Bombyx mori: one gene and its partner. The protein of the gene in region 1 interacts with the protein of each later gene in a pairwise test. Links are inferred from orthologs where the notes say so. Each region holds a gene or a part of one and is shown in the gene's direction. Other genes may lie near its edges. The genes, in order: prefoldin subunit 5 and prefoldin subunit 2.

The links.
Region 2: the proteins of prefoldin subunit 5 (region 1) and prefoldin subunit 2 interact in binary tests that used the Homo sapiens proteins (3 or more experiments, as listed by UniProt). The link is inferred for Bombyx mori from reciprocal best matches to the Homo sapiens genes PFDN5 and PFDN2.

What each region holds. Positions count from the first base shown.
Region 1 is NC_085112.1:5,057,086-5,069,120, forward strand, and holds prefoldin subunit 5, read left to right. Parts: upstream 1-6,421; 5' UTR 6,422-6,577; coding exon 6,578-6,664; intron 6,665-7,623; coding exon 7,624-7,833; intron 7,834-8,447; coding exon 8,448-8,621; 3' UTR 8,622-9,233; downstream 9,234-12,035. Other genes in the region: glutaredoxin 3, read right to left, coding at 4,198-4,460, 4,856-5,024, 5,316-5,365. UniProt on the Homo sapiens protein: Binds specifically to cytosolic chaperonin (c-CPN) and transfers target proteins to it. Binds to nascent polypeptide chain and promotes folding in an environment in which there are many competing pathways for nonnative proteins.
Region 2 is NC_085129.1:189,149-201,395, forward strand, and holds prefoldin subunit 2, read left to right. Parts: upstream 1-6,216; 5' UTR 6,217-6,572; coding exon 6,573-6,706; intron 6,707-6,788; coding exon 6,789-7,086; 3' UTR 7,087-8,624; downstream 8,625-12,247. Other genes in the region: uncharacterized protein LOC101745338, read right to left, coding at 516-714, 2,473-2,653, 2,731-2,803; molybdenum cofactor biosynthesis protein 1, read right to left, coding at 9,484-9,873, 9,951-10,411, 10,628-10,748, 10,849-10,959, 11,376-11,514. UniProt on the Homo sapiens protein: Binds specifically to cytosolic chaperonin (c-CPN) and transfers target proteins to it. Binds to nascent polypeptide chain and promotes folding in an environment in which there are many competing pathways for nonnative proteins.

The sequences.
Region 1 (12,035 bases):
GTGGGATGTGTGAGGGCTCTCTTCTGAGAGTATGGCCTCTCCATGTACATTTCCGGCGCATGATCTGCTTGTGAATTGGCATTTCCCGACACGCCTCCCAAAAGTATTCATTAGAGTACTTCTCAAATTAGAAAATGCCAAGTATTTGCAGTAAGCAGCGTCTGATGAAAACCTGAATCGGCTGCATGATCTTTTTGTTTGGACAAGACAAATTTCACGTTTAATCGGTGGATTTTGAGTTTAACTCTGCGAGAATTTCGTCAAGATGTTATCAAATATTGGTCTAATGCAGCGTGTCCTTTGACATCGCGTTGCCACTTTGTTGTTTCCTCGAGTATTTATTTGTTCCGTACAAGTTTGATTGGGGTGGAATCCAGTCTATGCTTGCCGAAGAAGTTGTTCCACTGTTTTCGCCCATCTGATCAGAACGATCTTGCTTAGTATCTTTGATGGCACGGAAGGCAGCGTAATGCCCCTCCAGTTGCCACACTCACTGAGGGCACCTTTCTTGAGAACAATGATTAAAGGCCTTTGTTCCGGTCATCGGGTAGATCTTCAGGAATCCATAAAGACCTCTGGATCAGTTGACGGCTTTAAGCATTTCTCCTATTATAAAAGTCGAGGCTTGGTGCTTTCCCACTCTTATTAGAAAATATACAGGGTGGCCCATAAGTCCTTTGATATGAAAAAAAATTTATTAAAATAAAACTAATTACATTATGAATTAAATTTTTATTTACATAAAAAGCTTAAAAAACGGGAATTATTTTTTGAAAATAACATCTCCTAAATGTAATCCGTTGCGATCACGGCACTCTTGCAAACGACGTCTAAAATTGTCGATGACTGCGCGGCACGTCACTGCTGAAATGCTTGTCATTTCTCTGCGGATGTTTTCTTTTAGGGCCTCAATTGACCGCGGGTTTGTGTCGTATACTTTAGCCTTAAGGTAGCCCCACAAAAAAAAATCCATCGGGGTCAGATCTGGACTACGTGGAGGCCAGGAAATGTCTCCTCTCTTAGAGATAACTTTGCCAGGAAAAAGTTGACGGATAACGGGCATAGCAGTGTTAGAGGTGTGAGAAGTGGCCCCATCCTGTTGAAACCACGTCCTGGCATTAAAGCCTGAAAAGTTTTGCAATTCTGGTATGAAAAACTCTTCGATCATAGCCACATATCGCTCCGACGTAACAGTAACTGCGCGCCCTCTGCCATCCTCAAAGAAGTAAGGCCCTAGGATACCATGGGCTGACATAGCGGCCCAAACAGTCACTTTCGGACTATGTAAGGGCTTCTGATGCTTAAGTTTTGGATTGATGGGGCTCCAATAGCGGCAATTTTGTTTACTAACATGCCCGTTAAGATGGAAATGAGCCTCGTCAGAGAACATTATGTTATTGAAGGAAGTAAACCGATTCAACATTTCATTCGCGTAATTTTGTCTTTGAATACCGTCAGTTTCCTTTAATTCTTGAACCAACTGAATTTTGTAAGGGTGCATATGTAAATCTTTCTTCAAAATCCGTTGTAACGATGTCCTGGATACGTTTAATGCTCTGGCGCGCTTACGAGTTGACTGTGTCGGATTTTCGCGAATAGACTGTGTCACTGTGTCTATGTTTTGTTCCGTACGTGACGTCCTTGGGCGACCCAACCGCGGTTTATCTAACGTCGAACCGGTCTCCTCGAACTTAGCAACCCAGTTCTTAATCGTTTGAAGAGTTGGAGTGTCGTCAAAGTTGTGTAAACCTTTGTGTTCTCGAAATTTACGCCGCGCAACGGTTGCCGAATTGTCGTTTTTATAAAACTCGCGCACACAAAACGCACGGTCCGCTCCGGTAAAACGCTCCATCGCGACTAAATTCCCAGAAACCGAAGTTACTCCCCCCGCTTCCCCTGCACCGCTCACGCGCGCCCTGTTCATTTTATTCAAATTTTACTTTTCAAAGGACTTATGGGCCACCCTGTACTTCAAGCTGCTTCAACTTCTTCTCGAAGCGGTATCGAAGTGTCAATGTCTAAAAACTATGGTAGGGTTGAGCTTGGAGATGAAGGAGATGGTAGGACAATTCATTTGCTCAAAAACTCCTGAAAGTTCTCGCGCCAACATTCAAGATAACTTTCTGAAGTCGCGATGTAGTTTCTGTTTTTATCCCAAAGCAGTTTCTTTTGGGTCTCTTTCTCCCTGCCAGCTCTTTGGTGTCACCGTACAATTGCCTCAGGTTGCCCGTATCGACTGCTGCTTGAGCACATTCAGCTTACCGTCAGTAGATCGTCGCCTGTATTTTCTGGTGCTGCGATAGATGCACTCATGTACGTATTTGACTGTACTGGTCCCTAAGGCAAGACCGTTCGGCTTTGTTCGGGGTTTCTAGGATGTTTAGGTGAAGATCGCATCAAGTCTGTTTAAGGTCACAAGTGTCGTCGGAGGTCCAATCATCGCGCTTTTTTCCAAGATGATCTAAGACAGAAGATCTGATTTCTTGATAGATTTGATTCGGTTGCACTCTTCGTCTGTATTATCAGTATTCGCATAGAGACGGAAGAAACAATTTCGGAGTTCCAAAGCAAATTTACTTCGAGAAATCTTTCTATCAAGTTGTCCCCAATCGAACTTAAGTCGTATCTTGTTGCTGCCAGCTGCTCGCCTCGTAGTCGCAACCTTGTGCCGGAGTTCAGCGACCATCAACATATGACCACTGCCGATATCGGCACTACACTTTTTGTGAACACTTGGCAGCTAGTTTGGTCTTCGTACGTATGTTGCCATCGGGTGAAGTCAACGCATACTTATGTATATTTTTATCATGGAAAAGTGTACCTCCGATAACAAGGTCGTGGTTTTCGCAGACTTTAATAAATTGCTTCCCTTAGTCGTGTTGGTCCGTATTGTCGCTTTTCCCTATCGTATTCATAACTCCTATCAAGATGACGGTATTGCTTTCGAATGCCTTCAGCGCGTTTTAAAGTTGTGTAAAGGAATTATGAAGTGTGCCTTAAATGTTCTAAGAGTTAAATAGAGTTTTAATTTGTACTTCGGTGAAAGTTTTATTTATCCCGAACCCGAGCACGTCACAGTACTATTTCTAGCACTACACTAAAAACATGTGACCAACAAAAAAAGTACTAAAAAAGCTATGTCAGGCCAAAAGGAGTGTTTTGATGTGCGCTTTGGGAGTCTTAACGACGAAAGGAAAGATCTTCCACCGAGCGGGTGATATTGCTCGGTAGACCGACGGTCCGAATGTCGTTGTTCGGAACTTGTATTTTTTTTATTTTTTTATTGCTTAGATGTGTGGACGAGCTCACAGCCCACTTGTGATGGGATGTGTGATATATGCGCTTTATCTTGAAAATGTCATAAGCGAGATTCAGGCATCTGTCAATTATCTTGCGTTGTATGATGGCTACCCGCCACACGCTAAGAGTGCAGAAAAGTTTTTATTCCACGGTTTACTTGTGAAAATAAACCAAGTTTATAGGTAATTTTGAAGTCGTCGTGGCCTAAAAGACGTCCGATGCATTCGTATGTAGCGATGCACCAGTGTTCGAATCCCGCAGGCGGGTAGCAATTTTTCTAATGAAATACGTACTTAACAATTGTTCACGATTGACTTCCACAGTGGAGGAATAACATCGTGTAATAAAAATCAAACCCGCAAAATTATAATTTGCGTAATTACTGGTGGTAGGACCTCTTGTGAGTCCGCACGGGTAGGTACCACCGCCCCGCCTATTTCTGCAAGGTGTGTGGCGCATTTACGTTGTAGATGTCTATGGGTTCCAGTAACCACTTAACACCAGGTGGGCTGTGAGCTAGTCCACACATCTAGGCAATAAAAAAAAAATGATTTCATACTTATGAAGAGTGTCATGAAAATATCAAATCAAATTGGTGAAGATGGACTGCTGTTTACATTAGAGTAAGAAAGCATGTGATTTTTATATGTATATATTCACTATAAATATTCATTCAAAATAAATAAAAATAGAAAACTAAAAATCTTTCATTTTGCAATTTAAATCATACCTATTTGTTTTGTAGAAATAGGCAAAATGTTCTCCATTCTTTAGTTTTTACAAAACTTGTCTCGAGGGCCAAGCCAAATTTCACATGACAAAGTCACATCTATACTTACACATGTAAAATAGTGCAATCAAATTATAGGTATTGATCATTTCATCAATAATACATACCCTGTTCCATTCAGAATTTGTATGAGAGTACGACTAAACCCGCATCTTGGAGTTTCCTTGTTCCCTTTCATGAATACCATTATATTATGCTTATTTATTAAAGCTTTTAGTCGATCTTCAAGTTTCTGAGGGGTTATTTCTGCAGGACTCTTATTAAGACTCTGTGCTTTAATTTTTGTGCTAATTTGAGCAGCATCTGCTCCATCAATCCTGTCTACTTGAGTTCCATTCTTAAATAATATAACTGTAGGCACTGAATCTACCTGAAATAAACATAATCATTAATAAGTTGTCTAAAACAGGCTTTCCCTATTTTGATTGTTTTCATTATAAATTATTTCAATATTCAATTACATAGGCTCTTTGATTGCTTAACTGGTCTAGTGTAGTGTTTCCTAAAGTAGTCTATTTCAATCTGAAGAATGACATAAAGTCTTTAATGCATAGTTGAGTAACCAAAATCAAGATACAAATTGATGTATCCATAAAGGTATATAAGCCGACTTAACCTAATAAGTGTATGGCTTTAATAAATAATAAAAAAAGTATACACAGGTATTGCAATAGGTGACTTAATTGTCTGTGCTTTATGATGCACTACATTTTTAGGGTTAGCACTTATTACTTTTTATTTAACAATATATTAGCAGAGCATTACCTTATATTGCAAGGAAACTTCAGAAAGTGCCTCGGCATCACAAACAGCACATTGTGTCTTGCTCGACTGAATTTCAGGAAGTTTTAAGAGTTCTTCAAGTACATCTGTAACTTGTTTACATTGTTCGGCCCATTCTGCTGAAAAGTGTACTACTCCAAGTGCAGGTGATCTAAATTAATTAAATAATTTTTGATATCAGCCAATACCAAGATAGATATTAAAGAATCATCTTGTTGTGATAAAAGATTAATTGAAAGTAATATTCTCAATTTTATATTCTAAATACATATTTCCATTTCAATGAATGCAAAATGTTGACCATCCTGCTACATAGTAATTTATTATCTAACATTTTTACCTATTTACTGTGTATTTAATTTAATTTCTTTTTATGGCTTATTTTTAATGATCCTTTCACAAACGGTTTTAAAAGTACTTTTTTATTAGCGGTGATTCTTACCTTATAAAATTATTAAAATCTTCAACAGAGTCCAATTTACTGACCGACATTTCAGTATACTATGTTTAGGTTACTTTAATAAATTTTGTAAACAGTATATAAGCGCCACTGGATTACAGCAAGATTGAATTACAATTACAGCAAGATCCGGAATCGTAGGTGTACTCGATGCAAAAATTACAATTTATTTAATCATGTTCATTCAGTTTCTGACATCTCTGATTAGGGATGTGGTCTAAGATCGATACTTGAGTAAATTAATTTGTTAACAACTTAAATCGTGAATAGTGAAACATCTTAAGCAGTAGAAAATCGAAATTTGATGAAAAGGCATTAATAAAGTATTTATGGTTCAACTGATTATGAATATATTAAATATAATGTTTATTAAATTTAAATTTACATTTTAAATAATAATAATTTAAAAAGTTGTTGTATATAAATCATGTATTTATTAAATTTTTTGAATGAATTTGTTGTTAATTTCTGTTTGATTGATTTTTGTGTCATTTTGGTTGCACTTGGGTATTTTCTAGAATCGATTTTTCAAAATTTTGGTCTGAAGTCGAATCATCATCTCTATTTCGAGCCAAATTTTTTTGTTTGATTTGTTTTTTGGACAAGCAAAAGGAGTCATAAATAATAAATAGATGTACACAATAAGGAGTTTTAGCAACACAGCGAAGTTATATTATGTCATGTATATCTTATTTATTTAAAATCGCTTAGCCATCTTATTGTTTACGGTTAATGATCAAGCTTAGTGGTAGATTTTTTTGTGTCTGAGCCAATTTTTTTGCTAATTTATATGGTGATTAAAAGGTTTGCTTAGTCATTGCTCTCTCGAAATGCTCGCAACATAATTGTTAACTTATAAATTTATTAACCTCTTTAATACGATTTTCGTTAGCGGTCAAATTGGTAGAAAACTACCAATATGACTAGCCAAATTGATACACACTAATAAATCCAGTTTAGTTTCTGTAAATTCTCAACATTTTACTAAGAGGTTTTCTTTATCGATTTGTTTTTTTCACTTATTTGGTGTTATAGGCAGAATTTGTTTGCATGTCAATTTGGACCAAACAAGTAAAACTGTCAAATTGACATATTCTGACTGAAGTTTTGGATCCTACCCGAAATCTACCTATTTTGAGGTTAGAAAAAAGAAATAGTCTTAGGATCCTACAAAAAACTAAATAGAATAACTAGAAACGTGTGTTAAGTTCTTTTATTATTTCCTTTTATTAATATTTACAAAGATGGCATCCGGTTCAGGCACTCAACAAATCGATTTAAACAAACTACCTTTGCCTCAACTAGCTCAATTGAAACAGCAGTTAGACCAGGTATGTATAAAGGAAATATCTATAGAGCTATTTTAGAAATAGTAAGCATTAAGTATTATTTCTTCAACATAATATAATTTATACAGATAATTATTAAATGTCGTAACTATTAATGTCCTTAAGAGACAGGACTTATGTCCTATTTTAAGGACCCTCATGAAAGCCGGAATGAAAACATTTCCATATGTTTTCTGGTCTGAGTTGTGTATCTAGGTGTACTTGTTAGTGACATGAACCCGGACCTCAAATACCAACTCACAAAGCTATGAATCTAAGATATGTTAAAGAGAAGACTTCACTGAATGTGCTCATTTTTGGTAGACAAGCAGTCATCATGTTGTTGTTCTGATCTTTTATTGGAAGACTATTTCGTAAACAGTCAGCTTCAGGTCATATCCGCTTTTCTTTATTGTATTGTAGCTATTGCTATAATTAGCCAGAAATGGAACATCAAACATAATGACTAAATTGAGGGAGACATTTTTTTTATTGCTTAGGTGGGAGGACGATCTCACAGCCCACCTGTTGTTAAGTGGTTACTGGAGCCCATAGACATTTATGATGTAAATGCGCCACCCACCTTGAGATATGTTCTAAGGTCTCAAGTATAGTTACAACAGCTTCAAACCGAAACGCATTACTGCTTCACGGCAGAAATAGGCAGGGTGGTGGTACCTACCCACGCGGAATCACAAGAGGTCCTACCACCAGTGAAAATGTGTCTGTATGTTAGTAACTGATGTTATGTTACAATATGCATTAGTAAAACGTCTGCCCTTTAGTCTTTAGGTCTACTTTGGGAGTACTTGGGCAGCTGTTAGTAAATCTGACTCCTCCTGGCTGCTCCCATGCTTGCCCTGCCTATCTTAGTGAAGCAGTAGTGGCCTCCTTGCAACCAGCTATCTCCATCCGAAAAAAAGGCAATACTCTCACACAAAATCCATAAAATTTTATTTCAGGAATTGACAGTATTTCATGATTCAATACAAACATTACAAATGGCTAAAAATAAGTTTGGTGAATCAGGAGATGTTCTAGAGAAGATGACGCCTGATATCAAAGGAAAACCGATGCTTGTTCCATTGACTAGTTCAATGTATGTTCCTGGCACAATAGCTGATGTTGAGAATGTCATTATTGACATTGGCACTGGATATTACGCTAAGAAAGTGAGTAACTTAAATCTATACATATAAATAAAATTGGAGTGTCTGTTTTTAATATTGAAATAACCGCTTTTTACTACATGCATATGAATATATACAGTACATACACCAAAATAACATTTTTTACAATTTTTGTCTGTCTGCCTGTCTGTCTGTTTGTTCCGGTTAATCTCTGGAACGGCTGGACCAATATTGACCAGACTTTCACTGATAGGTAGCTGATGATATAAGGAGTAACTTAGGCTACTTCTTAGATTAGGTTCGGCCCGCGGCGTCGGTTATTGTCGTACCACGGGATAACATCGCGGGACTCAGCTATCAATAATAAAATTTAATGTTTCCGAAGCGAAGCGAGGCGAGGGGGGGCGCTAGTTAAAAATAAATTTAAACCTAATTTAACACTTAATTCAGCTCCAAGTTTGGCAGGATAATATATCATGTATAGCTGCTGTTTTCATTTCAAACCTCATTTCAGAAAATGTTGAGTACTTTAGAATATTGGTATGAAGATTGAATCATGATATAGTTTCAAATAATTTCAAATTAACTGCATGGGTTACCCCTTAGGGCTAATGATGCTGACATATGTTTGTATTACGTTTTATTTCTGCTTCTAGGACATTGAAAGTGGCAAAGATTACTTCAAGAGAAGAGTAGAATTTGTTACAGAACAAATGGAGAAAATAAGTATGTTAGGTGCAGAGAAATCGAAACTCCGTGAAGCTGTTAATGCATTAGTTGAAATGAAAGTTCAAAACGAACTACAAGCAAAAAAAGCTAACTCTTCATAACATATCTGAGACTTAATTTAAAAAATATTTTGTGGAGAGATTCGTGTCCTTTTAATGTATAGAGTTGACCTAAATTTTCTGCTTTGTTAATTTATAGTTTATTTAAAGTATTTTAATTACTTTTTAAAACATTTTAATGATTACATCTTAGTGTTAAAAGTGGAATCATTTGTGTTTTGTTACCACGTATCACCCTGTCCTAATCAAAGTGGTTACTATTGCTTCTGTACATCAGTGATTTCAGAGCAAAGCCAAGTTTCTGAATGTATTAACGTAATCCCAACAGCTATGACTTATACTGATATTTTCTAATGTAAAGCTAGATAATATTATTAAGCCACATCAAAGCTTTTCCTCACATTTTCTTTAATTTTGGATAAATTTTGAAACTAATTACCTAAGGTAATATTTTGTGTTTAGAATACTCCTCAAGAGTACTACTCAATAGCATCAAGTAATGTTAATAATATTCTTAATTCATGTTTTGTAATTTTGTAAAGCTTTATATCATTTCAAACTATGTGTTTTACAAGTACAAGACTCATTGCTTAGTTTTAAATTTAATTCAATGTAACAAAATGTGCTTATGTTTAAAATAAATATATAAATATATTTCCAAGTTTTACTTGAACGATCCAGTATAACAAAAAAAAAACGCGGCTAAAACAAACATCAGCAAAAAGTGGCTTCTTTTTTTAAGATATATTCTGATACTGTTTTAAATGTTTTAATGATCTAATTATTGAATTCTGAAGAATAACACCCTGTATTGTTGTTGTATCTAGTAATAATCAAATTCTAGAAGGATAGTTACATACTCGTATAAATGTAATTTACAACTTTCTTACACAATCCATAGATGAGTCGACTATTATCAAAGCCGGCAATCTGACTTTTGGACAATTATTGGTAAATTAGAAAAACGAATTATTGACTTTGTATTCCATTGGCAGTCACAAAACTCCTCGGAACGACATCTTAGATAAATAACAGGTTAACTATTAACCTTTATTTAATGCAGGTTTTGAACCGTATTCTTTGAAGGAGACGATTATATTCAAATCAATCTGTATTGACATATCAATAACATTTTTTTGTCCAAATGCACAGATTGCCACCTTTGATAATAGACGACTCGGATGTCGCCTTTGTGTATTGCTAAACTCTTCTTTCTATAACTTACTAGGGACCCGCCCTCGCTTCGCTTCAAAACTGTAATTTATTATTGATTTCTCCACTACTTAATGGATGTTATTATACATATAAACCTTCCTCTTCAATCACTCTATCTATTAAAAAAACCGCAACAAAATCCGTTGCGTAGTTTTAAAGATTTAAGCATACATAGGAACAGACAGATATAGGGACAGAGAAAGCGACTTTGTTTTGTACTATGTAGTGATGATGATGATTAATGCAGTCTCGTCCGCGCGTAGCTACAATAGCCCCTTAAACTACCAGCAAATAGGTAGCGAAAAATGCACAGCTATTAGACTTAAAGTCTGTACAATATCACAGTTTAAAATAATTTAATTCCATGATTCGAATACTAGGATTTTCACTATCTCATAAGTATACCTACCGTAAGCGGCAATCTAGACGATCAATTATATTGCCTGGTATTGCGAACTTGGCAGTATTTTTGACTAGGGTTAATATTAAAGATTGCACGATGATTGAACGTTTTTAACTATATAGTTTAATTTTTATTGCACCATATTTATTTATTGCATCATGTACGGTCAGTGCAATGTTTTAAGTCTTTTTTTTTATGATTAAAGTATTACTGGTGCCTCGGAGGCCTTTCCAGGTTCACCAGGACAGGTGGGCGAGCAAATGCTCAGCCAGGAGGGGTGAGATTTGCTAACAGCTGCCTGAGCGCCTCCGAGACCAACTCAAGAGTAGCTGCTTCGCGAATGAATCTACTACCGAATCGGAATCGCGACCCGCTGAGAAGATCCGGCGAGAAACTCAGCGGGCTGATGGGTTAGGTTGCACGTCGAACTCTTTGTCGAGTTCGACGAGTACGGTTACCGTGTGTTTTTGTCTATGGTTCGTCTTGACAAGGAGTATACGCGCTGACTGAGTTCGCGAACATTGTGCAGTTCGTATTATTGTGCAATATAATTGATCGTTTAGATTTAGAGCGCCTTTAAACCTTATTCTAGGTACATTATATTGTATGGTACAATGTTATTGTAGGTCTAGGGGCCGCCTAAGACGTTATTAACAATCACGTCTTTTAAAAACACGGAACTTTCTTCAAATATTTAATGATATATCTCTCTCTCTCTTTCTCTTCGATCGGTTCCTCACTGCTGAGGATCGTGACTCCGTCCGATTTCGTCAGCCAACTGTCTCCATCGAACCCGTCCTGCAGCCCGGTGGAGTGCATCGCTGATAGGTATCCCCAGTTCCTCCGCTATTTGGTCCGACCATCGTTTGGGACCTATACCCCTAGGCCTTTTTCTCTCCATTTTACCAGTCACCACAAGGCGTTCCAAATTGCTGGTATCCCTACGTGCAACATGATCAAAATACCGCAATATTCTTTGTAGGCAGATTGTGGATAGACGTTGAATCTTATAATGATATATAAATTGCGTTAAGTTCTGCTAATTTTTTGTCTTTCAAATAAGGTTTAAATTGAGTTCATAGTAGTAGGTGGCGTCTTAGGCTCGCAGGTCTCCGGATTTGCTGATGTCCATGAGCGTCGGTGACCAAATACTATCAGCTGGGTCGTAAGATTGTCTATCTTTTACTATAGTAAAAATGTTCCCTATATAGTTCCTAGGGAATTTATTTCAAATTACATTTTTATAAATATTCCTCAAAAACAGGTGCCTCTTTTAATTCCAAACCCTTTAGAGCGTGCAATAGACGTAAAAGTCGAATGTTGATGGTTGATACAAAGTGGTATGTAGATACATATTTCTTTCTAGATGTATCTACAGACTTTCTGCGATGCCTTAGCAATCCGTAATCATTTAGCTCTAGGTGTAGGTATCACGAGTCCGTCCACCAACCCAAGGCTTAAAGAAAAATCGACGCCGCCAGCTTTTAAACATGTGGTCAAAATATCTACATATGTTTTAGAACATCTGTTTTATCCTTCACACTGCATAATTACTTTGCTGATTACGCCCTAGTGTATATATTCTGTGAAATCTTAATTTCTCAGTTAAATCCCCATGACCTTGTCTTTGAATTTGAAAATCTGTCTCCTAAGATCAAGCTGAATCCGTTTAGGGTTCCTAGGCACATTACAAGACACACAAAATATACTCAATGGTGCTTGGGATTTATTTTTATCGTGTACGATCTAGCGGTGTATTTTCATCATTTAAGATTGTGCTCGGCGTAGCTTATATCTCACTAAATTTTCGAAGATTTTCGTAGTACTTAGGTTTAGAA
Region 2 (12,247 bases), on another chromosome or scaffold:
CCCGGGCCAGAACCCGGTCAGAGTAGAGGAGGTACCCGCGGTCAACACCCGCGATAACGGGTCGTCGACGACCAACGACACTGGTCCTCGCGGTACGGCAGCCCTACCAGGCCCCGTGACCCAGAGACTGCTTCCTCACAGGGTCGGAGTTGGACGAACGCCCTCCTCCCACCCCCGGCTCGACGGCGCCAAGAGGGAAGAAGAGCTCTCCCTCTCCTGTTCCGCAGCCTTCTTTTGCGAGATGGTGGACTCGTAGAAGTCGAGTATCGTCTGCCAAGACTCGTCACTGCCGAGCATCATAGGCACGACGGTCGGCAGCGACAAGTCTAGTCTGTGTTTTTGCAACCAGGAAGCGGAGCTGCTCTGAGAAAGCTTGAGGGAGGCCTATGTCCAGCAGTGGACATCTGTGGGCTGATAGAATAGAAATAAAAAAGTGACAATACCTAGACAAGATCTGGAAAATTTTCAGATATAATGTGTGATCTTAGAATGTACTTTGGATTAATGACACTAACCTGAAAGTCGATAAACCTGAGCCACAGGGCGACGTCGTTGGGTTGTTTTTCTAGTTGTTGAGTGAGAGCCCGCTCCCTAGCAGCCAGCTCGGCGCTGAGGTCCGCTACTGGGATGTTCACCTCCCAGTAGCGGAATGAGCGCTCCTCACTTTTTCGACGCTTGCGTTTTTTACCCACTACTCTACCTATGGCCTTGTACCTGAAATTAATAAGTTATACAGATAAATGATCATATGCCGGAAATAACCAGATGACTACAAAGTCATAATGTTATTAGTGTTACTTCTACTGCTAGCTTCAATTACTACACACTAAGCAAAAGCAACAATACCATTAGAAAATATTATACCAAACAAAGCATAGCGTGATTTAGTCACATATCTATTGAGTTTTGACATGGTGGAAGATCACTGTTGCTTATGACGTCACAAAAAATGCCAAGGGTACAGTAAAGTCAAATGTTTTTCCTTGCCCTGCTGCCCAATCAAAACTAAATTTGGAATTCTGAGGCACATTTTTACAAATTGTTGCACACTTTGTGGATACCTACATTACACACACTATTCTTTAACAGGTCTTTACCATGATTTTCATGTATAATGAGTTCCCCATACTTCAGTGTTGTTGCCAGCTTCATGATCACAGGTAAACTGAAGACTACGAATAGAATGTTAAGAGCAGACAAATTTTATCAGACCTTATTAGACCTTGTTAAATAAATAGTGTAATTAATGACAATTTTTAGTTTAAGGGGTTATTTTTATGCTTATTCATACAAAAATACATTTTCTCGACATTCATCTTGTTTAATTATGACTCGCTCCCCTCTATAACATCCATATGTTATCATTGTGTACTTTACATTTCACTATTTGCATAAAGAACTTTTCAAGTCTACCTAGCATTTATGAAGTATTAATGTCGTGTTAGTATTAGTGTTAATCAAGTTGTCGTGGCCTAACGGATAAGACATCCGGTGCAATCGTATCTAGCGATGCAACAGTGATCGAATCCCGCAGGCGGATACCAATTTTTCTTATGAAATACGTACTTAATAAAATGTTCGCGATTAACTTGTACGGTGAAGGAATAACATCGTGTAATAAAAATAAACCCGCAAAATTATAATTTGCGTAACTACTGGCGGTATGACCTCTTGTGAGTCTGCACGGTTAGGTACCACCACCTTGTCTATTTGTGCCATGAAGCAGTAATGCGTTTTGGTTTGAAGAGTGGGGCAGCTGTTGTAACTATACTGAGACCTTAGAACTCGTGTCTCAAGGTGGGTAGCGGCATTTAGGTTGCAGATTTCTATGCGCTCCAGTAAACACTTAACACCAGGTGGTCTGTAAGCTCATCCACGCATTTAAGCAATAAAAAAATAATAAATTTAGTGAAAATTATCAAGGAATAAAATTTTCTAAATATATTTCTGCTTTTCTCTCCTTTAGAGATAGAATGTCTAAAAAAATATTTAACTGCTCTAAATTTCTATTATTTTCTTTTATTGTATTCACGGTGCATTTCCAGGGATATTTTTGGCCATTTACCATCAGTCCTTAGAATTAATTTCTTTTCTTCTGTACTGAATACCATAATCACCTTTTTACAACTCCCAAGGGAAGAGATGAGGTGATGCTATTCTAGGTTGAGGTTCAAGAAAAGATTCATTTAGGACAACATTTTGTGATTCCGATGCGGTGGTAGATTCTACAAAGCACTGCTATTGCTAAGGTTAGTGTTAGCAAATTCTCTCAGGTTGAGTCCATGAGCTCAGCTGCCTGTAAATGAGAAGCTGGAATAGCCCTTACGCTACCAGTAAATAGGTACAAAAAAAAACATTCGAGCATAATTTTCCCATCAGTGAATAATATTTCAAAGCTTGAAGTAAAATCAACTTTCTAATTACAGTTCATCGAGATGTGGACAGTGTGAAAATGAAATTAAAAACACTTACTCAGGTCGGCCGGGATAGTACAAGGTTGAGACTCGCAGGTTACCGGGGTCGAACTTGGTATCGAGATAAAAGTCAGGAGATGTAAGATCACTCTGGAGTGGTGGTTGTAGTGGAGCTGGATACTCGTCGGTAGAGTTATCACTAGCGAGCAGCTGTTCCTCACCAGCCGGCGATACTTCCCCTGCAGGTGATAACGCGTTATAGCCTTTCGTCAACAATATTATTAAAATAATATAGATTGCATTTTATTCATCTTACGCTCATCAATGTTCGATATTTTTGTTTCAGTTACTTTTGCGCAATCTTGACTATACGCTGGAAATAGAGACATTTTAGTGGTAATCGTATGCAATATCCTCAAAGAATGTTTATCAATGGTTTGACATGCTATGTTTATGTGTATAATCTATGTGTACTAACGAACTGTCACTGACTGTCACAAAACAAAGACAGAAGGTTTTTTTAAGGGATTTAATGACCTGGTAAGTAAGACCTTTAGGTCATGTCTTATTTTAAGTTAAATTATTTTATATATTTCAATATAAATTCAAATTGAAAAAAATATTTCCACACAGCTATTACGCTATTATTAAGTCATATCTTAATAGACGATGCTTTGAGATTAAACATAACCGAGAATCATCACAAATGCATGAGATTACTTCTGGTGTGCCACAAGGCAGCATACTCGGCCCTGTCCTGTACCTCATCTATACAGCAGACTTACCAACCAACAGAAACACTATCATTGCAACATACGCAGATGATACAGCTATTATGTCTGTTCCTGACGACCCTACAACAGCTTTTGAAAACTTACAATCACATCTAGATGACCTTGAGAAATGGTTTAATACGTGGCGAGTTAAAGTAAACCAAAGCAAATCATCCCACGTTACCTTCAGCCTCAGGAAACAAACCTGTCCACCTGTAAGCTTATACAACGAAAACATACCGCAAGCGGAAGATGCAAAATATCTTGGCATACATCTGGATCGAAGACTGACATGGCAAAAGCACATCTGGTCTAAGCGAAAACAATTGGACATAAAGCTAAGAAATATGTACTGGTTGACTGGAGGGAAATCCCAACTTTCGCCGGAAAGTAAAATTTTAATTTACAAAACCATCTTAAAGCCAATATGGACATATGGCATACAGCTTTGGGGAACTGCCAGCAATAGCAATGTCGAGATCCTTGAAAGGTTTTAAAATAAAACTTTCAGAACAATGGTAAGAATACCGCATTACATAAGCAACAAGATCATACAAATGGACCTAAATATTCCCACAGTGAAAGAGGAAATAGTAGCTTACAGCAAAAAATACCAAGCCAGGTTATCGACACACGTCAATAAATTGGCGTCGGACCTAGGAGGCACAGGAGCTGTGCAGTTTACTAGATTAAGGAGGCACAGTATACCTACCTTACAGAACAGAAATTAAATCGTACAACAAAAGATGAAGATATCACTGGACAACTGATTCTGTTTATATCACTACTAAGATTAAAATCAGCCAAAGGAATAGCTCATTGTTAACTAATCAAGATCGCTACGAGACATTAAATTATAATATTGAGGGAAATAATATGAAGATTATTAATTTGAGACATTATTCAACTGGGATGAAATTAAATTAAATGAGATGAGATGAAATGTAATCTCACTAAAATAGTGGTCATTTACTGAGATTTTTTCAGTGGACTTTTTGGAGGGTCCCAAGAGATTATGTCCAGCGGCTTTGTTTCATTTTCCCACATTTGTGCACTTTCACAAATATTAAACAGCTAATAAACCACTGTTATTACACATTTCAACACATTACACATTTACACACTGTGGTTAATATGTGATCATTACGTGATTTTTTGAAGTGAAACTTTTTTAGAATCGTTGTGTTTTCAAACTCGATGAAACGAAATGAAACGAAACGAAAAAATAAGTGTGCCGCGATTGGCTTGCCGAAGCGGCTCCGAGCGGCGCCGACAAATCACGAAGCACTCCACACGGTCTCGCATCCTCGACTAGTTCAGTGTGTTTTTGATGTCCGTGCATGCTGTCGTGGCTCTTGGAGCGCCCTGAGATACTTTTATTTCTATTTAGTTTGTTATCAACAGATGTCACTGCACGTAAACTCAACAATTCCTGAATCGCGGTGATGAGATGTTACACAGTTGATAAACGTTCTCGTATTTCTCTTGTTCAATCACAACCACTTGGAACATCCTACTCCCGACTAGGCGCGTTAACACTTCCGCCTCCGCCATTCGCCTCTTCATCATGTACGACCAACCCATACCGTCGGCCCCGAAGGTCAAATACTTAGACGTCACCCTCGACAGAGAAATGACATTCCGCCCCCACTTGAAGACGGTACGTGATCATGCCGCCTTCATACTAGGATGTCTCTACACTCTCTATCCGATGATATGCAGGCGAAGTAAATTATCCCTTAGAAATAGGGTGACACTCTACAAAACTTGCGTACGCCCTGATATGACCTATGCAAGCGCAGTGTTCGCTCACGCGGCCCGCACTAGCTTAAAATCATTCCAAGTTATTCAATCCCGTTTTTGCAGGATAGCCGTCGGAGCTCCACGACGACCTGGACTTAGAGTCCATCAGTAAGTATCTTCAGTCGGCGTCAATGCGCCACTTCGATAAAGCGGCACGACACGAGAACCCTCTCATCGTGGCCGTCGGTAACTACAATCCCGATCCTGCGGTGAGAATGGAAAGCTGTCGACGTCGCCCCAAACACGTCATTTCGGATCCTCCCGATCCACTAACAGTGCTTTTAAGTACCTCAAGCACCGGTCATCGTTCTCGTCGAACCCGTCATCGTTCTCGTCGAACCCGTCGCTTGCGACGAAGGGCTCGACGAATAAAGTAACCCTCAGACACAGCCCACTGAGTTTCTCGTCGGTTCTTCTCAATGGGTCGCGTTTCCGATCAGGTGGTAGATTCTGCGAAGCACGGCTCTTGCTAGGGTTTGTGTTAACAACATCATCCGGCTTGAGCCCCGTGAGCTCACCTACTAGTTAAGGCGACACTGATATAGCCTCTCAAGGCTATCAGCATAGGTAGGAAAAAAATAATCTAATCATACTTACTTGGCGTAGGGATACGGTGATCATGCAGGCGGTTTCCCCCAGGGTGAGGCTGCTCCATTGCACTATGGAGTGGTTGACCCTTGCGATAATTTTTATTTTTTAAAGGTTTCACTTCTACCGTGTGTGACTTGCACACACGTCACACATACATTTTTTTTTTCTTATCTAAGCTGGGTATTACGGATAAAATGTTCCTACCTATAGTCCTAACCTTGCACCTTCAGACTTCCACCTGTTTCGATCTCTTCAGAATTTTTTAGGCATTGTCAGGTTAACATCACGAGAGGACTGCCAAAACCAATTGTCGCGGTATTTTGATCGGAAGCCCCATAGCAATGGGATCATGTCCCTACCTACAAGATGGCAAAAAGTTATCGAACAAAATGGTACCTACATACTTTAGTTAAATGTAAATAAACAATATTAAAAAATGTGAATTTTCTTAAAAAATGCGAAGAAACTTTTTCCCCAACTATTGTACTATTAGAACTTAGTAGTTTAAATTTTATTAGTAATAGACAAAGACTTTAATGCTTTTAATCTAAGGATTAGGATATTATCAAAATACGTCCCAAAAATGCTTTTTAAATATAATAGATGCTTTTCAGGAGTTGGTTGTCATGACTCAAACTTATCTCAAGTGTTTCACAAACTATGGTCACAATTTATTTGAGGGTAAAGATTTTCTTGTGAAGTAATAAAAAAAAAAATTGCCTAAAAGGTAAAGTAGCCAGCGTTCGCAAAAAAAAAACTGACATGTACATTAATGTACATAACCTAATCCGTGTATTCGATAAAAACTAGTTAATTTGAGTTTTTGTTAATTTAAAATACATTTACATGTTCTTTTATTTTTAAAACTTTCAGTAAACCGTGATTATTTTTACTTTTCAAAGAGAGTTAAATTGATTACTCTTTTTTTAAAACTATATAAAAAAAAATCCTAAAATTTTGATTTCCATTTCCCCTACCTACCTAGAGTAAAATGGCTAAAAATACATCAAAAGTAGGAAAAAAAACGAATGAGGAAATCTTTGCTGGTTTCCAAACTCTTCGTAATGAACAACGTCAATTAGGGAGTAAAATATCAGAATTACAAATGGAGTTAAACGAACATAAGTGAGTAAATGTGGAATAAATCTATTGCATATCAATCTACTGCTTAAAAAAATACAAAATACATAGTAAATTATGTCTACAGGATCGTAATTGAGACTTTGCGGGGAGTGGAGTTGACCCGTAAGTGTTTCCGGATGTTTGGGGGCGTGCTTGTCGAACGCACCGTAGCTGAGGTGTTGCCAGAGCTGATCAGCAATTATGAACAGCTACCTAAGGCCATCCAGTCCCTAGAAGACCAACTCACTCAGAAGGGAGAGGAGATCAATAAATACATTGAGGAACATGATATTCGCATCCAACGTGCTGATCGCACCATGCCTGAACCACCTCCAGAGCAATCCACCTCTACCAAGTCTAATGTGCTAGTTGCTAGCGGTTAACTATACTGATCCTTTCATTTCATATAGCTGTCGCAGTGTATTGACAGTGAGACTAGTCCTACATTTGCCTAAAGCAGTGTGAGGTAGTACTGGGAAACTTTTTATTATTAACAATACTATTACGGTGTGGCTTGATAAATTAGTTCTGGCTGATGTTTAGGGGCAAGGGGGGCAAACATGGTATTATGAAGCAGTACTTTATGAATATGATGACAAGAAAAGGAAAATCTAACTGAATATCCATCTCAACCAGATAAATAAATCATTTTAGTGTGACAATACTCCAAGACACTTAACCACATATTTAAAGAAAGGAATACTACAGCGAAAACTCCACAGAGAATAATTAATTCCCCAGCTGAATGTGCTCAAATAATGTGGAATTAAACTCAATAAACAGTTTTTTCAGGCAGTAGAATATGAACCCTTGTCTAGTGGAAAGTAGTATGATAATAAACTTTAATAATAAAATAGATCTTGAACAACTTTTCAACACTTTTCATGGAATATGTAATACAAATGCAGAGAAGCAGTCTCTTTGTCCCAACAATTATGAGAATAGCTTCATTTAAGAAGTCAAGACAATATGGAGTTTTTTGTTGTTGTCCTCACCATTCTTTAACAATGTCTAAGGTGACAGTGATATATTTCTAATCAAAAACAATAAGCTTTGAATGTTTAAACTCTAAACATTAGAGTAATATATGAGAGAAAAATAATTTAAATAGTAAAATGTTTTCCACATTGTGCTATATGTATATTCCCAATGCTGTCACAGCATCTGAAGCTCACCTATGCAGAGTCAATGTGATTGGTAGGCAACTGTAATAAGTAGAAATATCACTGAAACCTTGAGAGTATTGTTTAACTGTGTACATAGCTTTAAGGTTTACTGCTATTTTGAAGTGTTTGGCCAGTTAACAAGCCTGAATGCCTGAATTTTTCATTTGCCCTTGCCCAGACGAGCATACGGCTCACCATTGCCAGGGGTAGAGCCAACTTACTGCCAACAATTTGAATGATATACTATACGCATGTCCGAGTTCAGAGATGAACTATGGCAATCAGGTAATAACTTTGTGTAAAAAGTCTCAACTGAAAAGTTAATAAGTTTGGATAATTTATTACTTGCACCATACTCTAAGTGAGCATGGTTAGATTATTACCTTATTTCTATGGACAACTATACAATATAATTAAAACTTCCTATACTCTTAGCAGGATGGTGACATTCATAATGTTGTCAGAGGTCTGATAAAATTTTAATACCAGGTGGGATGTCACAATAAAACAGTGACAACTTTTTCTGTTTCATCAGGTGAATTTTAATATGATTATAAAACATGATCATGGCTAGATTCATATTTGGTTTTAATTTTTGGAACCTTAAAATTTATTGTTACTTAAAATAAAAATAGCCAGGAATAACAAGAAACTTTATTTTATAATATAGAAAAGAATAACTAAACAAAAAAAAGTGTACTAATATTTATTTCATGTAAAGTAATTTTGTATAAAATATATTTCTGAAAAATTCATTTTTGTAGTTTGGACTTGTAAGGGTCTGACGACTAATCTCCAATACTGTTGATACCACAGAGGATAACAAACAATTGGCATGCAAGTCCTTTCGTTGACATGTTTATTGTAATCCAAACTTTACATTTAGTCGGGCCCTGCCTTCTTACCTCCATGTATCAGGTGGGGTATTAGAAACCACAGTGGATGGATTTAGGTTTTTTTACAATGTTTCCACTTAAAATAGTTCTGAGTGTTGTGCTGGCGAACTATGGCGTCTAGTGGAGCCGCACGGCGGGCGCCACTAACATCCATTTTATTCCAAGAAGCAGTTACGTTCAGGTAAGGTGGAACCTTCAAAAGCAATTGAGATTTCGAACTCATATTTCTAGGAACGAAATGAAGTAGAATGAATATTAGAAGGCCATACAGTTAGTTGGCCGAGCAATTCGCATAATATCCCGCGCACAGCACATCTAAATGTCTTACAATTTAACAGCTTTGACTGTTCCTCAAGTTTGTTGATATACCAGTCATATATGATGATGTTCTATGATAATCCAAAATAATTGCAATCTAACATTCTGCATTCCGTTAGCATTGTGTTATGTCCGTGAGAGGCGCAGCCGGAGCCCAGTGTGAGAAGATTCTAATGTCGCATTTGATTAACATGTATTTAAATTATAATAAAATTTGAAGACTTAACGTTGTTTTTTATTAACATCCAGTAGTTAATTTTGTTCTTGGTTAATATTGTACAATAGCACCATTACCTTAAAAGCTAAATTCATAACCACGAAGTAAAGCACGAGGAGGAGCGAGGGCACAGCGTTACCGCGGCGCGGCACTACCCACTAGTCACAGGTTTGTGGTGACCAGTTAGAAGTGTGCGAGGTCGGTGGGCGCGTAGGTCTCCTTGGGGTCGAGCGGGGTCGTGTCGGGGGCGCGCAGGGGCGGCGGGGGCGAGCGGGCGCGCGGGGTCGACCCGCCCGACTTGTGCACCACGCGCAGCTCCGACACCGACATGTGCTTGTCCACCGCCTTGCACATGTCGTACAGCGCCAGCGCGGCCACCGCCGCCCCCACCAGCGCCTCCATCTCCACCCCCGTGCGGCCCTCCGCCCCCACCTCGCAGCGCACCCGCACCGCGCCCCCCGCCGCGCACTCCCCGCCGGGCAGCGACACCCGCACGCGCACCAGCTCCAGCGCCAGCGGGTGGCAGAGCGGGATCAGATCGGACGTGCGCTTTGCGCCCAGCACTCCCGCGATCTGTAAGGAGTGTTTGACTTAATCATTCATTTTAAAGATTCCATTTGGGTCTGCATCGAATTCGAGAAATAAATTACTTCGGCAACGGTGAGCGCGTCTCCCTTGGGCATGGCGGCGTCCCGGAGCAGGCGCAGCAGGCGGCCGCCGACGCGCAGCTCGCACTCGGCGGCGGCGGCGCGCTGCGTGCGCGGCTTGGAGCTGACGTCCACCATGCGGGCGCGGCCCTGCGCGTCCAGGTGCGAGAGGCGGGCGGGCGGCTCGGACCCCCCGGACCCCCGCGACCCCCCCGTGCAGTAAGCGCGCGCCTGTAGCCGGCCGCTCCCCCCGACCCCCTGTACTTTGAACGCGCGCCCGTCTCTCGAGGTTAAGTCACCTACCCGCCTATGAGAATCATGGGCCGGTTCTCCATGTGCGCCAAATTTTGCATTCCTATAAGTAGAGGAAGGATCAGCGAGAGTGCGGAGGTTGGCCGCCCCCCACCCCCCGGCCCCCCGTCGCTCGCCCGCCTCCTCGCGCCGCCCGGACCGAGCTCGCGCTACTGAAATACCAAGAACGCGTCGAAACTCGTTCCAAGACGAACAATGTTAGTAAAGGAAATGAGCTGATGCAGCACAAGCGGGTTCGGGACGAGGGGGACCGGTGATGCTACATTCGTGCAGTGCTGATTGTGCAGAGTACACGAACTAGTTCAGAGAGGGTGGACAGGGCGAAGAGGCAAGAGCGGCAAGGTAGGAGAGAGCAGCTGCCCAGTTACCGGCGTGCGCGGCCTTCTTGTTGTGCAGCGCGGCGCGCACCAGCTGCAGCAGCCGCGCCGGGCCCGCGCCCCCCCGCACCGCGTCCCGCAGCGACACCTCCGCGGCCCCGAACAGGCACACCTGCACACACACACACGGCCGCTTGTACCGGGACCCGCGCCCCCCGCGCCGCCCCCGCGCCGCCCCCGGGGTCCCCGCCCCGCGCCCCCGCCCCGCTCACCTTGAGGTTCCCGTCGGCGGTGAGGCGCAGTCGGTTGCAGGTCGCGCAGAAGTGCTGCGTCATGGACGAGATGAACCCCACGGTGCCCGCGTACCCGCCCACCTTCCACAGCTGTCCAACGAACCAGACTCATTACAGCGTTTGTTTCGCAATCGATAAAACTCAAGTCGTACGCGATGTGAGATATTCAAGTCAAATAATTAGCTTGAAGAAATAAATTAAATTATTTGAAAATTAATTTTTTTGTTATAAGTTTGTTTATCAGCCTTTGGCATTCTCTGATGGTCGCAGGTTCGCTGCAATGTCCGGCCCTACGCTGCCCAGATTAAGAGGATTCTCGCGATTTTCAATAACAGTACCTACTTAGCAGAGCATAATATACTAATCCTACTTCTGGTTAAAGTTTATGAAGGAGCTAGCAAGTTCTTCACTGTCAATTTTATAAATAATCGAGCAGAGTAATGGTACCTTTACTACGTACATAACCTGTCATCTAGTATTGAGTGCAGTATATGTGTGGGGGGTACCGTGGCGGTGTCGTTGGGGCGCGGGGGCAGGGGGCGCAGGCCGGGGTGCGCGGCGCGGGCGGCCCGCAGGACCTCGCGGTGCGGCACGAGGCGGCCCGACTTCCACTCGTTGCCGGCAAATGGCATGAATTCTATGAACCTGCAGACACAAATAAATGTGTTACAATGGTGGCACTCCATCGCCTGCTCCCTCGGGACGAGCCGCCCTGTACCAAGAGAGGGTCCGCACACGGCGCCGTGTCGGCCGCGCGGTGGGAGCACGGTGCGGGCCGCGCTCTTCCCTGACGCCGAGTCGCGTCTCGGCGGTCCGAACTAAGATTTTAAGTAGTCAGTTTTGTAAGTACCGAGGTATTATTTGATGAATTTACGTTCTGTGTGGTTTTCTCGGAGGCTGTAAAGATATTACATTACACATACATTGTCATAATATGTCCTTGTGTATTCACCACAACCATCCCTTATCGCACATCCCGTGGGGCAGGCGGTACGAGCGGCGCGGGCCCTCCCCGCAGTGCGCCCGCCGCGGCGTGCCCCGGGAGGAACTTTTCTGTTTCTTCTTTTGGTGTTTATTTCAGTTTATCCGTTTTTGGTTATGACATTTTTATTTTATTACTATATAAACATTTACACTAAAATTTAGATATAAACATGTAAAAATATGTATATTTTTTTCGGTTCTCTTTATTTTTATAATAATCTAATTGGTAATTAGATATATGAACGTATTTTTTATTTACAAAACCTTCGTCGACAGGTTCCGCAAGATTACGACTGAGCGACAATAAACCACCGGAAGTGATTACTATTCATATTGGCTGCGGCCGCGCTCCGCTGCACAACACCGGTTGTCTATACGAAATACACAAACAAGC